Linked DNA regions of Cricetulus griseus. The protein of the gene in region 1 purifies or fractionates together with the protein of each later gene. This does not show direct contact. Links are inferred from orthologs where the notes say so. Each region holds a gene or a part of one and is shown in the gene's direction. Other genes may lie near its edges.

What was found. The genes of interacting proteins can lie anywhere in the genome.
Region 2: the proteins of ubiquitin carboxyl-terminal hydrolase 22 (region 1) and Taf5l purify together in Homo sapiens (affinity purification with mass spectrometry; 3 studies listed by BioGRID and IntAct, with this or other methods). This does not show direct contact. The link is inferred for Cricetulus griseus from reciprocal best matches to the Homo sapiens genes USP22 and TAF5L.

The regions. Positions count from the first base shown.
Region 1 is NC_048600.1:75,147,048-75,152,462, reverse strand, and holds part of ubiquitin carboxyl-terminal hydrolase 22, read left to right. Parts: intron 1-2,397; coding exon 2,398-2,545; intron 2,546-3,178; coding exon 3,179-3,284; intron 3,285-4,640; coding exon 4,641-4,799; intron 4,800-5,415. UniProt on the Homo sapiens protein: Deubiquitinase that plays a role in several cellular processes including transcriptional regulation, cell cycle progression or innate immunity.
Region 2 is NC_048596.1:200,680,609-200,686,023, reverse strand, and holds the end of Taf5l (TAF5-like RNA polymerase II p300/CBP-associated factor-associated factor 65 kDa subunit 5L), read left to right. Parts: coding exon 1-411; intron 412-2,584; coding exon 2,585-3,382; 3' UTR 3,383-4,429; downstream 4,430-5,415. UniProt on the Homo sapiens protein: Functions as a component of the PCAF complex. The PCAF complex is capable of efficiently acetylating histones in a nucleosomal context. The PCAF complex could be considered as the human version of the yeast SAGA complex.

The DNA.
Region 1 (5,415 bases):
TCCTAGTCCAGCCCATTACTAACACCTGCAGTTACTGGTGACTGAGACTGAAGATACGTAGGGGCGGACAAGTGAAATTGTCAGAGGTCACAAGGGAAAAGAAAACATGCTGGGAAGTGAATGCTGGAGTTCACTGCTTTCAACTAGCTATTACTTTGTGACTAATTCATCTCTCTTGGATTATTTTTAAACCAGGGCTTAGTAAGATATACACAGTAAAACTTGCTAGCATAGCTGAGCGTTGGTGGCGCACGCCTTTATCAGGAGGCAGAGGCAGGTGGATCTCTGAGTTCGAGGCCAGCCTGGTCTCCAGAGCGAGTGCCAGGATAGATTCCAAAGCTACACATAGAAACCTTGACTCAAACAAAACAAAACAAAAAACAAACAAAAAAAACTTGCTAGCATATAGATTTGTGAGTTGACAAATGCTTAACACCTCTACCCTCATACCTTTCTGAAGCCAAGCCCCCTGCTCCTGGTGACACAGGTTTCTGTCCCCTGAATTCCCATTCCTGTGTACCTGGTATGGATGGATGTGTGGCAGGTGTCCCAGTGTTGTGTATGTGCAATACTCCACCACCCTTGTTAGGTTTGTCCGTGTGGTACATTAAGGTCCATGTGTGGCATTTGCATCAGCCCTCCTACCGAAGAATGCTCTGTTGTATAGTGGCCACACTGCAGTTGGAGCTGCCTGGCTCAAACACTTTTGTGTGGTTTCCAGTTTTTGGTCACTGATGTAATGAATTCCACACCTGCCATGGGATAGTTTAATACACACACTTCATAAATTACCTTCATAGTACACATTGAGGTTTTATTTATTTATTTATTTATTTATTTATTTATTTATTTATTTATTTATTAGACCTGGGTCCTATCTTGTAATATGCCTCATTTGCAAATATTCTAAAATCTTAGACACTTCTGGTTCCAAACCTTTTGGGTGTTCAACCTGGCCCAAGAAACTTGCTGAGACTATTTTGGTGGCTTGACTCACTGCAAACAGAGAAATGGGTGGAAGATTGATGTCAGCTTTTTGTTGGGTTTCTGCTACACACTGTTGTTGCTAATACATGAAAACAGATGGTTTGCAACTCTAAATTAGTTTAATGCATGGCTTTATGGGTCATGACAAACTGGAGGTCACAAATACGGATCATCTTTGAGTGCACGCAATAAGTAATAATAATAAATAATAATAATCTGAAAGAATAACAACCAAAACTTCCAGGTCCAAGTAGGTGCCAATTCTGAGGTGTTTCTGACCGGACTTGCCAAGGTTGTGTTGTGTGACTTCACCACAGCCTTGGTTTTAAACATACCACACACACTGTTTCATGTGTGCCAGAGCCAGTTAGTGCTGCCTGAGACACCTCATTGACAAGGATGTTGTGTGATTTTACTATATATGCAAAGTCTTCTGCTCTTACAGAAATGTAGTGGTGTTGTTACAGAAGACAACGACATTGAGTATTTTCCTACCATCATTTTCTCAGCATGTAAATATATCTTCATATAACTTTAGATTCTGATGTTGAATGTTTGGTTTTAAAAATTGCTGTTTGCTGGCTTGAGTTTTGTTTTTCTTGTTGCTATAAAAAGGCTTAGAATTAAAACAGGACTTCCCAGTTTCTGAAAATGGCCTTAAATATACTTACTCTCATTGTGTACTTGAATTTCCACAAAGTGGCTTCTCAGGCAAAGGGGTGACAAATGAAAAAGTGCAAGAAACCTCATCTAATGATGAACTTGGGAAATGCATTCAGGTATAAGAGATAGCAGGTGCTCTGTGTAAGGCAAACATTGCATAGAATGAATCACTTGATTTTGCTTTTTATTGTGTGGGCTAACAGCAAAAATAAAGTGGAGAAAAGTGAGAGTGAAATCTAGAAAGTCCAAATAAAAATACAATTTGCAGGGCTAGAGGGATGGCTCAGCAGTTAAGAGCACTGGCTGCTCTTCCAGAGGTCCTGAATTCAATTCCTAGCACCCAGATAGTGGCTCACAACCATCTGTAACTGTAGTCCCATGGGATCAGATGCCCTCTTCTGGTGCACAAATTACATGCAGACAAAACACTCTTATATATAAAGTACATAAATAAATCTTCTTTAAAAAATCAGTTATGAAAAGAAAAACAATGCCAGGTGGTGGTGGTTGCAAGCCTTTAACCCCAGCATTCAGGAGTCAAAGGCAGGTGGATCTCTGAGTTCAAGGCCAGCTTGGTCTACACAGTGAGTTCCAGGACAGCCAAGGCTATTTATTATGCAGAGAAACCCTGTCTCCAAGGACAGACGGACATTCGGTCAAACTACCCAGTCTACAGCTGTGGATTTTTTGGAGGGTGATGAAGACTTGCAGGTGTCCTAGTTGTCCCTTTTCCTTCTCTCTAAACAGTTTTACTCGGGGCACCGCTCCCCGCACATTCCGTACAAGCTGCTGCACCTGGTGTGGACGCACGCCCGGCACCTGGCAGGTTATGAGCAGCAGGACGCACATGAATTCCTCATTGCAGCCCTGGACGTCCTCCACCGGCACTGCAAAGGTGGGCCTGCCACCATCTCCCTGCTGGGCTGGGACAGGCGGAGAGTTCCCTTAAAAGTGGATCAGAGCAAGGCTAGTGCTCACCCAGGCAACTGTAGGAGAATGCTTGATTTGTTTTGGAGACAGTATAGTCAGGTTCTATTTCCACTAAAGAAAATGGCATGGTTTCTTCTAATGAGTTCTTCACAGTTTGTTTTGTTAATACCAACTGATTTTTTATATTTTTGGAGGCAGGGTCTCCCTGTGTAGCTACTGCTGGCCTAAAGCACTGGCCCCCTTGTCTCAGCCTCCTGAGTGCTGAGATTATAGGTGTGAGCCTCTGTACAAGAATAGTGGTCCCAGGGCTAGTGTGCTGACAGTTCTATAATCCTAAGACCCAGGAGGCAGAGGCAGGCAGATCTCTGCAAGTTCAAGGCCAGCCAGAGCTACCTTACCCTGGCTCAGGAAAGAAAGAAAAGGAAGAGTGACATGCCCCACCCCATCCCTGCTACCAGATAAATCTAAAAGCCTTCACATGCCTCATAGAGTGTTGGTGCTCCTGGTGTCCTCCTGTCTCTGCTGGGTGATGTGGACTTGCTGACTGCTTTGTACTGTCTTGGTGACATTACTAATGGTAATCACACTTTGTCCTCAGGTGATGACAATGGGAAGAAAGCCAACAACCCTAACCACTGCAATTGCATCATCGACCAAATCTTTACGGGTGGGCTCCAGTCTGATGTCACATGCCAAGTCTGCCAGTAAGTGCTCCCATCATCTGACGGTCAGTAGGCATGCTTTAATCTGCCTTGGCTGTGCCATATCCTGGTGCATTTCCCAGTCAGCAAGGGAAAGTCTTGTTTGGACTTCAAGCCTTTATAAAGCTCAGCACCGCCCTAGAGAAGACTCCCTGAGTTCTGTGGTGTTTGTAGTGAAGCACTTACACTAGTTTCAGGTGAGGGACAATTTTATTTAAACAGCTATGCTCTGGTCATTTGACATACAATGCCTCTGCTAGAAAAGACACAAGGAAGCAACAGATGGCCTGAATCTGAAGGCTGGGAGCTCTTCCCTTGGGGACTTGTAGAGTTTTGTTCTGCTGGCAATTAGCAGGGTGTCCTCGGCAGCTTCATACATGTTTTTCTGCTTTTCTTATAGTCTTCAAGACTAAGAGCCAAAGCAAATAGCCCCTTCATGTGGCAGGTCATTGCCTTCCATGCTCCAGGTGTGAATTGGCTCCTTTTCCACTTGCTGACATAAAGCCACAGTGGTTTCCAGGTGTAGCCATTGCTGAGTGCTTCCCCTCCAGAAGCAGAAAGGATCCTTTTGCAGTGACTGGAGAAGTCCTCACCCCATCCTGGTGTGCCTGGTGTTTGCTCCACTGGCTCACCCCAGGCATGCTGCTGTTCTTACTCTACCCCTGGATTTGAAAACCCTGGTCACCATCCCCCCCCAGTGCTCACCTGTACTCTGGACAGGGTTCAAGACCGGGATGCAGGAATCTAGGGGTGCTCCTATGGTTTTCCAGGCGCAGAGCTCCTTTCAGACTTTGTCTTTGAGCAATGTAGAATTCCTCCCTCCCTGGACTTTAACTACTGTGCTCTGTTAGCAAGAGGTAGCCTTGAATTTTTGGTCCATTTCTGAACCCAATTTACTATTCTGAATTTCCTCGATTTAATATTGTGATGTAAACCTCCTGGCAGGAAGGAGTCAATGTAGTTGGAGGTTTCTCATCCCACCCTCCAGTTCCCAGATAACGTTGTTAAATGCAGTGGTCCTTGTTTGTGGGACTACCAAGTTTGGCCTGTGTACTGTGGATGGGGGTTTCCTTGGTGATTTCGCCTATGTGGGGCACCTAGTTTCTGAGTAGTGTTGCTGCAGTTCCTAAGTATTGTAAGCTGGATCCCAGCACGCTGAGCTCTGCCTGTAACTCAAGGCTTTATACTCTGCCAGACTCGCCAAATAAAATCATTACTGTGGACATTCCTGTTCTATCCTGAGGCATTTGGTGGGCAGATGGGCAGAGCAGGCAGCATGTTCGGCCTATCTCTAGGGGCTGCCTCAGGCCATGGTACACACCAGTCCTCATGTGCTCTCATGTGTTGTCTCTTCTGCAGTGGCGTCTCAACCACCATAGACCCCTTCTGGGACATCAGTTTAGACCTGCCTGGTTCTTCCACCCCATTCTGGCCCTTGAGCCCAGGGAGTGAGGGCAGTGTGGTTAACGGGGAGAGCCATGCCTCAGGCACCACCACTCTTACAGACTGCCTGCGAAGGTGAGACACATCCTTGTGGTGTTGGTTCAGAATGCCGCTTTTTCCTTCCATTTTACTACACAATTCAAGCTTTAAAAAATTAACAGAAAAACAAGAAGAAAAAATGACCAAAAAAATAAGACAGACAAAATTAGCAGATCTTTGAAGATTATCCTGCTGCTATAAAGTGACATGGTGACCCCCAGTACCTTCACCCATTCCCCATCATGACACCCCGCAGCATAGAGTGGTGATGTGTATGTCACAGCAGGTTGCTGAAGCTGGTGTAGGCAGGAACATCATAATCCCTTCTGTCCACAACCTTCATCTGACACAGCAACCCTGTCCAGTCCTCACCTAAGCAGTTCAGTTTTGTCCTTCTCTAGATTTCTCAGGGAGGTTTGTGAGTGGAATCTCACAGCACATCACCTGTTGGGTGGCTCTTCCACTTGTCTTGATCTCTGGCAGCTCAGAGAATTGTATATGCAGTAGATCATGCCATTCCACTGCTGACTGTGGGTGATGAATACATTTCCTATTGAGTCATTTGGGTCTTCTGAACTGCTGCTGCTGTCACCATTTGTAGCTTTGTGTGGCTATAATATCTGTTGTTCTAAGACAGGTTGAGTTGCTGGAA
Region 2 (5,415 bases), on another chromosome or scaffold:
TGCAAGGTGCTTGCCGTGCACATTCACTTGGACGTGCAGCCTGCCAAGAGGACAGACTACCAGCTATATGCCAGTGGCAGCTCCTCCCGCAGTGAGAGCAGCGGCCTGGAGCCACCAGATGTGCCCAACCCTATTCTGCAGAATGAGGCTGCCCTGGAAGTCTTGCAGGAGAGTATCAAGCGGGTCAAGGATGGACCTCCCTCCCTCACCACCATCTGCTTCTATGCCTTCTATAACACAGAGCAGCTGCTGAATACTGCAGAGATCTCCTCTGATAGCAAGCTTCTGGCTGCTGGGTTTGACAACTCCTGCATAAAGCTCTGGAGCTTGCGGTCCAAAAAGCTGAAATCAGAGCCCCACCATGTGGACACATCCCGTATCCGTCTAGCTTGTGACACTCTGGAGGAGGAGGTAGGGGTGCCATTTATTCTTTCTTGTAAATCCTTCCTATTAGAGTGTTCATTCTAAACCTGACCTCTCACCAAACAGTACTCTGTAGTCCCCTTCCTAGGCAGCCAAAGCTGGATTCATGCCAGATGATATAGCCATTGAGTCCCACTCATGCCTGATAAATGCACATTAAACCCTTCTCCCAATACTCAACATTATTTATGAGTGGACAGTGTTTACCACTGTCTGAAAAGCAGGTGCCATCATTGAGCCTAACAGATCTTCAGCTGATACTGACTTAGGGATCACATTACATGTCTGTTGTTGTATGCTCTCAAATGTGTACTGTGCAGGTTCAAATAGTGAGAAACAGCATTGGTAGTTAGGGGGTCCACATTTAAACAGTAGTGAATATTGTCTTCCCCTGCAGAAATCTAGGCTGTTTCACAGCCTTGTCCAAAATAAGGACACTGATGTACTGTGTGTCTAGCTCTGTATGCCAAGAGTAGTCTCAGCCCCACTTTGAAAACAGACATGGATTGTAGAACTCTGGTGTCTTCTCAGTCAGTGCAATAACCTGTTGTCAGGTGGAGTGGCTAATCTGGGATGGCCAGTGACCTGAGTTTCAGTTACCAGAGTCACTACTGTATAAAAACTTGGGCTGAGAGAGTTAGCCTTCATGATCAGCATTTCTTGAGCACCCAAATGCTTTTGCATTTCTAATTTGAAGTGTCTGCAGTAGCCATTTTGAGTATTTGTAGACAGACACCAGTGTTTTAACTCCCTCAAGTTTTGTGCACATTGAAAGCAGTTATTTTGCTTTGACTTAGAGTTTTCTAGTAGAAAAAACAGTGCCTACTAAAAAGGTGTTCTTTTCCTGTGCAGTAACCAGCAAAGCTGAGTGTTAAGGAATCTTGATTGTCTTCTAGTGTTACCCATTGTAGTGGAGAGTCACACCTGTATGTTCAGGAGCTTCCCTGTGAGGGAATAGAGGGGAAATGGACTGATAGCCTGCAGCCTTGTGGGAAAGGGCTGTGGGAGCACACTTTATCTCCAAGTGCTATTGTGGACATTTCCTCTGTTTTTTTTTTTTTTTTCCAAAGGTGACATGAGTCACTGGGCTCTATTGTAAGCTTCCCCCCTCCTCACTCTCACTCTCTATGTTAGACCAGGCTGTCCTCAAACTTGGAAACCTAGCTGCCTCTGCTTCCTGAGTGCTGGAATCAAAGGTATGCGCCACCATGCCTTACTGTCTTTCTCAGTCTATGGTTTACTTTAGGAGATACGGATGAGACTCTCCCTTCCTATCCTTTTTTTTGTTTTGTTTTTTTGTTTTGTTTTACTGCACCCCCACCCCCAAGTCTATGTAATATCAAAATCTTGATGGTCCTCCTGAGTCCTGGCACTGTAGACATAAGTCACCATATGCAGCTTTTATCTGTCAGTGTTCATGGTCTATTGGTAGCTGTATTCTCTGACTCAAAGTTCCTATGCAATTTTGTTTTGGCTCAGGTTCTTGAGATTCTTCTAAAGCAGATCTTCCTGCTTTAGCTTTCTTGGTACTGTAATCACAGTGTATACTACCGGGCCTATCTCTAGATTTCATTAAATGTAATAGAAATGGAATAACTTGGCTACAAAATGATAAGAGCTGATGGCTGAAGAGAGCTCCATTAAGGAGAATCTATGAACTTTATATAAATTCAGAAGTCAGTGTTTTCAAAAGAATGAATAGTAGATGTCCCACAGGCTTGCCTTTCAGTCATATCCTCATTCGAAAATTAAGACTCACAAAAAGTATTTATCTTCAGTCTGATGTGGCCTATGGTTGGGCATGGTCAGCTGGAGTGGCCATGAAGGGCACACCCTCTGACAGGCCCTGCTCTCTACCTTTCCTCTTTCAGACTTATATTTCTTTTTTTGTTTGTTTGTTGGGTTGGGTTTTGGGTTTGGTTGGTTGGTTTGTTTGTTGTTTTTCGAGACAGGGTTTCTCTGTGTAGCTTTGGAGCCTATCCTGGCACTCTCTCCGTAGACTAGGCTGGCCTCAAACTCACAGAGATCTGCCTGCCTCTACCTCCTGAGTGCTGGAGTTAAAGGCGTATGCCACCAATGCTCAGCTCAAGCTTATATTTCTTGTGAGACCACTGAATATTTTCTTCTTGTGTGTTTTACCACCCCACCCACCATGTTCCAGGAGAGTGAGGAGGATAATACAGGCACAGAGATGAAGATCCTGCGAGGACACTGTGGCCCAGTGTACAGCACAAGGTTCCTCGCAGACAGCTCGGGGCTGCTCTCTTGTTCTGAAGATATGTCCATCAGGTACTGGGACCTAGGGAGCTTCACCAACACTGTGCTGTATCAGGGACATGCCTACCCTGTATGGGATGTGGACATCAGCCCCTACAGCCTATATTTTGCCAGTGGGTCCCATGACCGTACTGCCAGGCTGTGGTCTTTTGATCGGACGTACCCGCTGAGGATATATGCAGGACACCTGGCTGACGTGGACTGTGTCAAATTCCACCCCAATTCAAACTACTTGGCAACAGGTTCCACTGACAAAACTGTCCGGCTGTGGAGCGCCCAACAGGGGAACTCAGTGCGGCTATTCACGGGTCACCGAGGTCCCGTGCTTTCCCTTTCCTTTTCTCCCAACGGTAAGTACTTGGCATCCGCTGGTGAGGACCAGCGGTTAAAGTTGTGGGACTTGGCCTCTGGGACGCTTTTTAAAGAACTGAGAGGCCACACGGACAGTATCACCAGTCTGGCCTTTAGCCCAGACAGCGGTCTGGTTGCCTCTGCCTCCATGGACAACTCTGTACGTGTCTGGGACATCAGAAGCACGTGCTGCAACACACCTGCTGATGGCTCTTCGGGTGAGCTCGTGGGCGTGTACACTGGACAGATGAGCAATGTCTTGAGTGTACAGTTCATGGCCTGCAACCTCCTCCTGGTGACTGGAATCACACAAGAGAATCAAGAACATTAATTTTTTAATTCAGGTGGCAGACTTGGTGGGGCTGGAAAACTGGTCACAGTCCAGGACTTGCTAAAACTGAATCAGTGATTGCAAAAGAGCCCTCCCCTACCCCACACTCACCCAACACAGCTCTGGTGCACAAGACTCCAGTTGAGAGCTGTATGCTCAGGCTTGATGCCTCCTGGCTCTATGCAGGCACCTTGCTTTTGCATTTCCCTCTTCCCAGTAGGGTTACTGGAACAGTTGCAGAACTCCTCTGTAGCAGCTGTAGACAGTGTCTCCTGTGGCTACCCCTCAAGGGAAGTGGTGACAGGGACTAGGAAAGGAAGGGATGATCTAGCAGTCTTTCTTTTCCATAATGATAGAACCAGGATTTTTTATTATTATTAATAATAATTATTATTATTGAGGAGGAAACCTAGCATTGGCAGAGGTGTCTCTGCTTCTGTCTGCAGGTTTGACTCCTGGCACTGGCTATGATACTTGGAATTTTGAGGTTCAGGGAATTCAGACTTTGGTAGCCATGTATCAGGAGAAAGGGGTACCATATAATGTGCTTTTGCAAGCAGGCAGGTAGCTTAACTGAACATTGAGCTCTTGCAGTGATGGTGGGAGAGAAAGATTCTTTTACTGGCTGCACTCTGTCAGTACTTCTCTACCCTAGAAGAAATATTATGGTGGGCAGAGGATGGGCCTCAGCACTTGAGTCGATTGTCCAAGGTTCCATCCCTAGCACCATCAACAAAATTATGATAAAGAATAATTTTGAATAAATCTCAAAATAGGCTTAAAAGCTGGATTTCCAGATGACTGTTTATTCTGAGATGTGGCTTTTTGGTGTCTTTTTCTCCCTCAATGATCTGCTTCCACCCCTCACTGCAGTACCAGTATAGTGAACACAGGAATGAATCATGAGTGCACACTCAGCAAATATCAAACCATGTTTTAAGGACAAAGGAAGTTCTAATGTGTGGAAACGGATTAAATATTTCTGTTTTCTGAAAAGAGTTATTTTGTATTTTGTTTTCTATTAAAATGTATTTAGTTTCAAAAAAATAAGTGTGGCATCTCATTTATACTCTCAGAATACTTGTATCACTGGTCCTTCAGAGTAGTGACCAGAGCATAGGCAAGATCGGCCACAAAGCAGGTATGGTGGTCTGTTTTTGTATTCTTCTGAATTTACTTTTCATCATGTTCTTCCTGGCATCCAGTTGGATTACCAACAGCAGTAAAACATCCAATGTTGCTACCTGTTGATGAGAGATGAACATCTCTTTAGGAGGATCCCCACTTTAGCTTCCTTGAAAAAAATCACATTGTAGCTGGATGTGTTGGTGCACATCTTTAATCCCGACACTTGGAAAGCCAATAGTGTGGCAGCTGCCCAAGTCACCCCAGTAAAACCTGTTCATCAAGCTGGACTTGAATAGTTTCTTCTGGACTGTCATTGTTCTCTCAGGACTGAAGAGAAATACTCTCAGGAAGAGACAACACACTGTGAAACACTGGGTCTTCATTAAACATTCATAAAGCATGGTTAAAATCATCATTAGCATTAATTAGTGTTAAAATCCTTAAGTTCTAATTTGCTCATTTTTGAGCAAATTTGAGCATCATTCTAATGATGCTCATTTTTCTGTCAATAAGATGTTGATAGGAAAATTTGACTTCCTTATTGATAGCTATTGGACTCTCTTGCCACCCTAGCTACCTTGAGCAAAAGGACTGTCAGCCTAACAGCCAGCAAGACTATACTTATGCCAGCACTGCTGTTTTTAACACATTACACATGCCTTGAAGAAACCACACAACTACATCTATTTCTTTGGCTCCTGAAGGTATAACAATCCAGGACTGTTTCAAATAGTACTGGACTTTTGTGTAATAATCGTCACTGAACTCTAGGTAACCCTCCACCTGGAGAGAAGCAGCCTCTCCACCTGGGTCAGAGCGGGAAGCACTTTGTCTGGTAGCAGCAAAGATTGCTGTGTCTGGTAGAAAAGAGTGCTATGACTGGCACAAATACAAACCTTCATTTG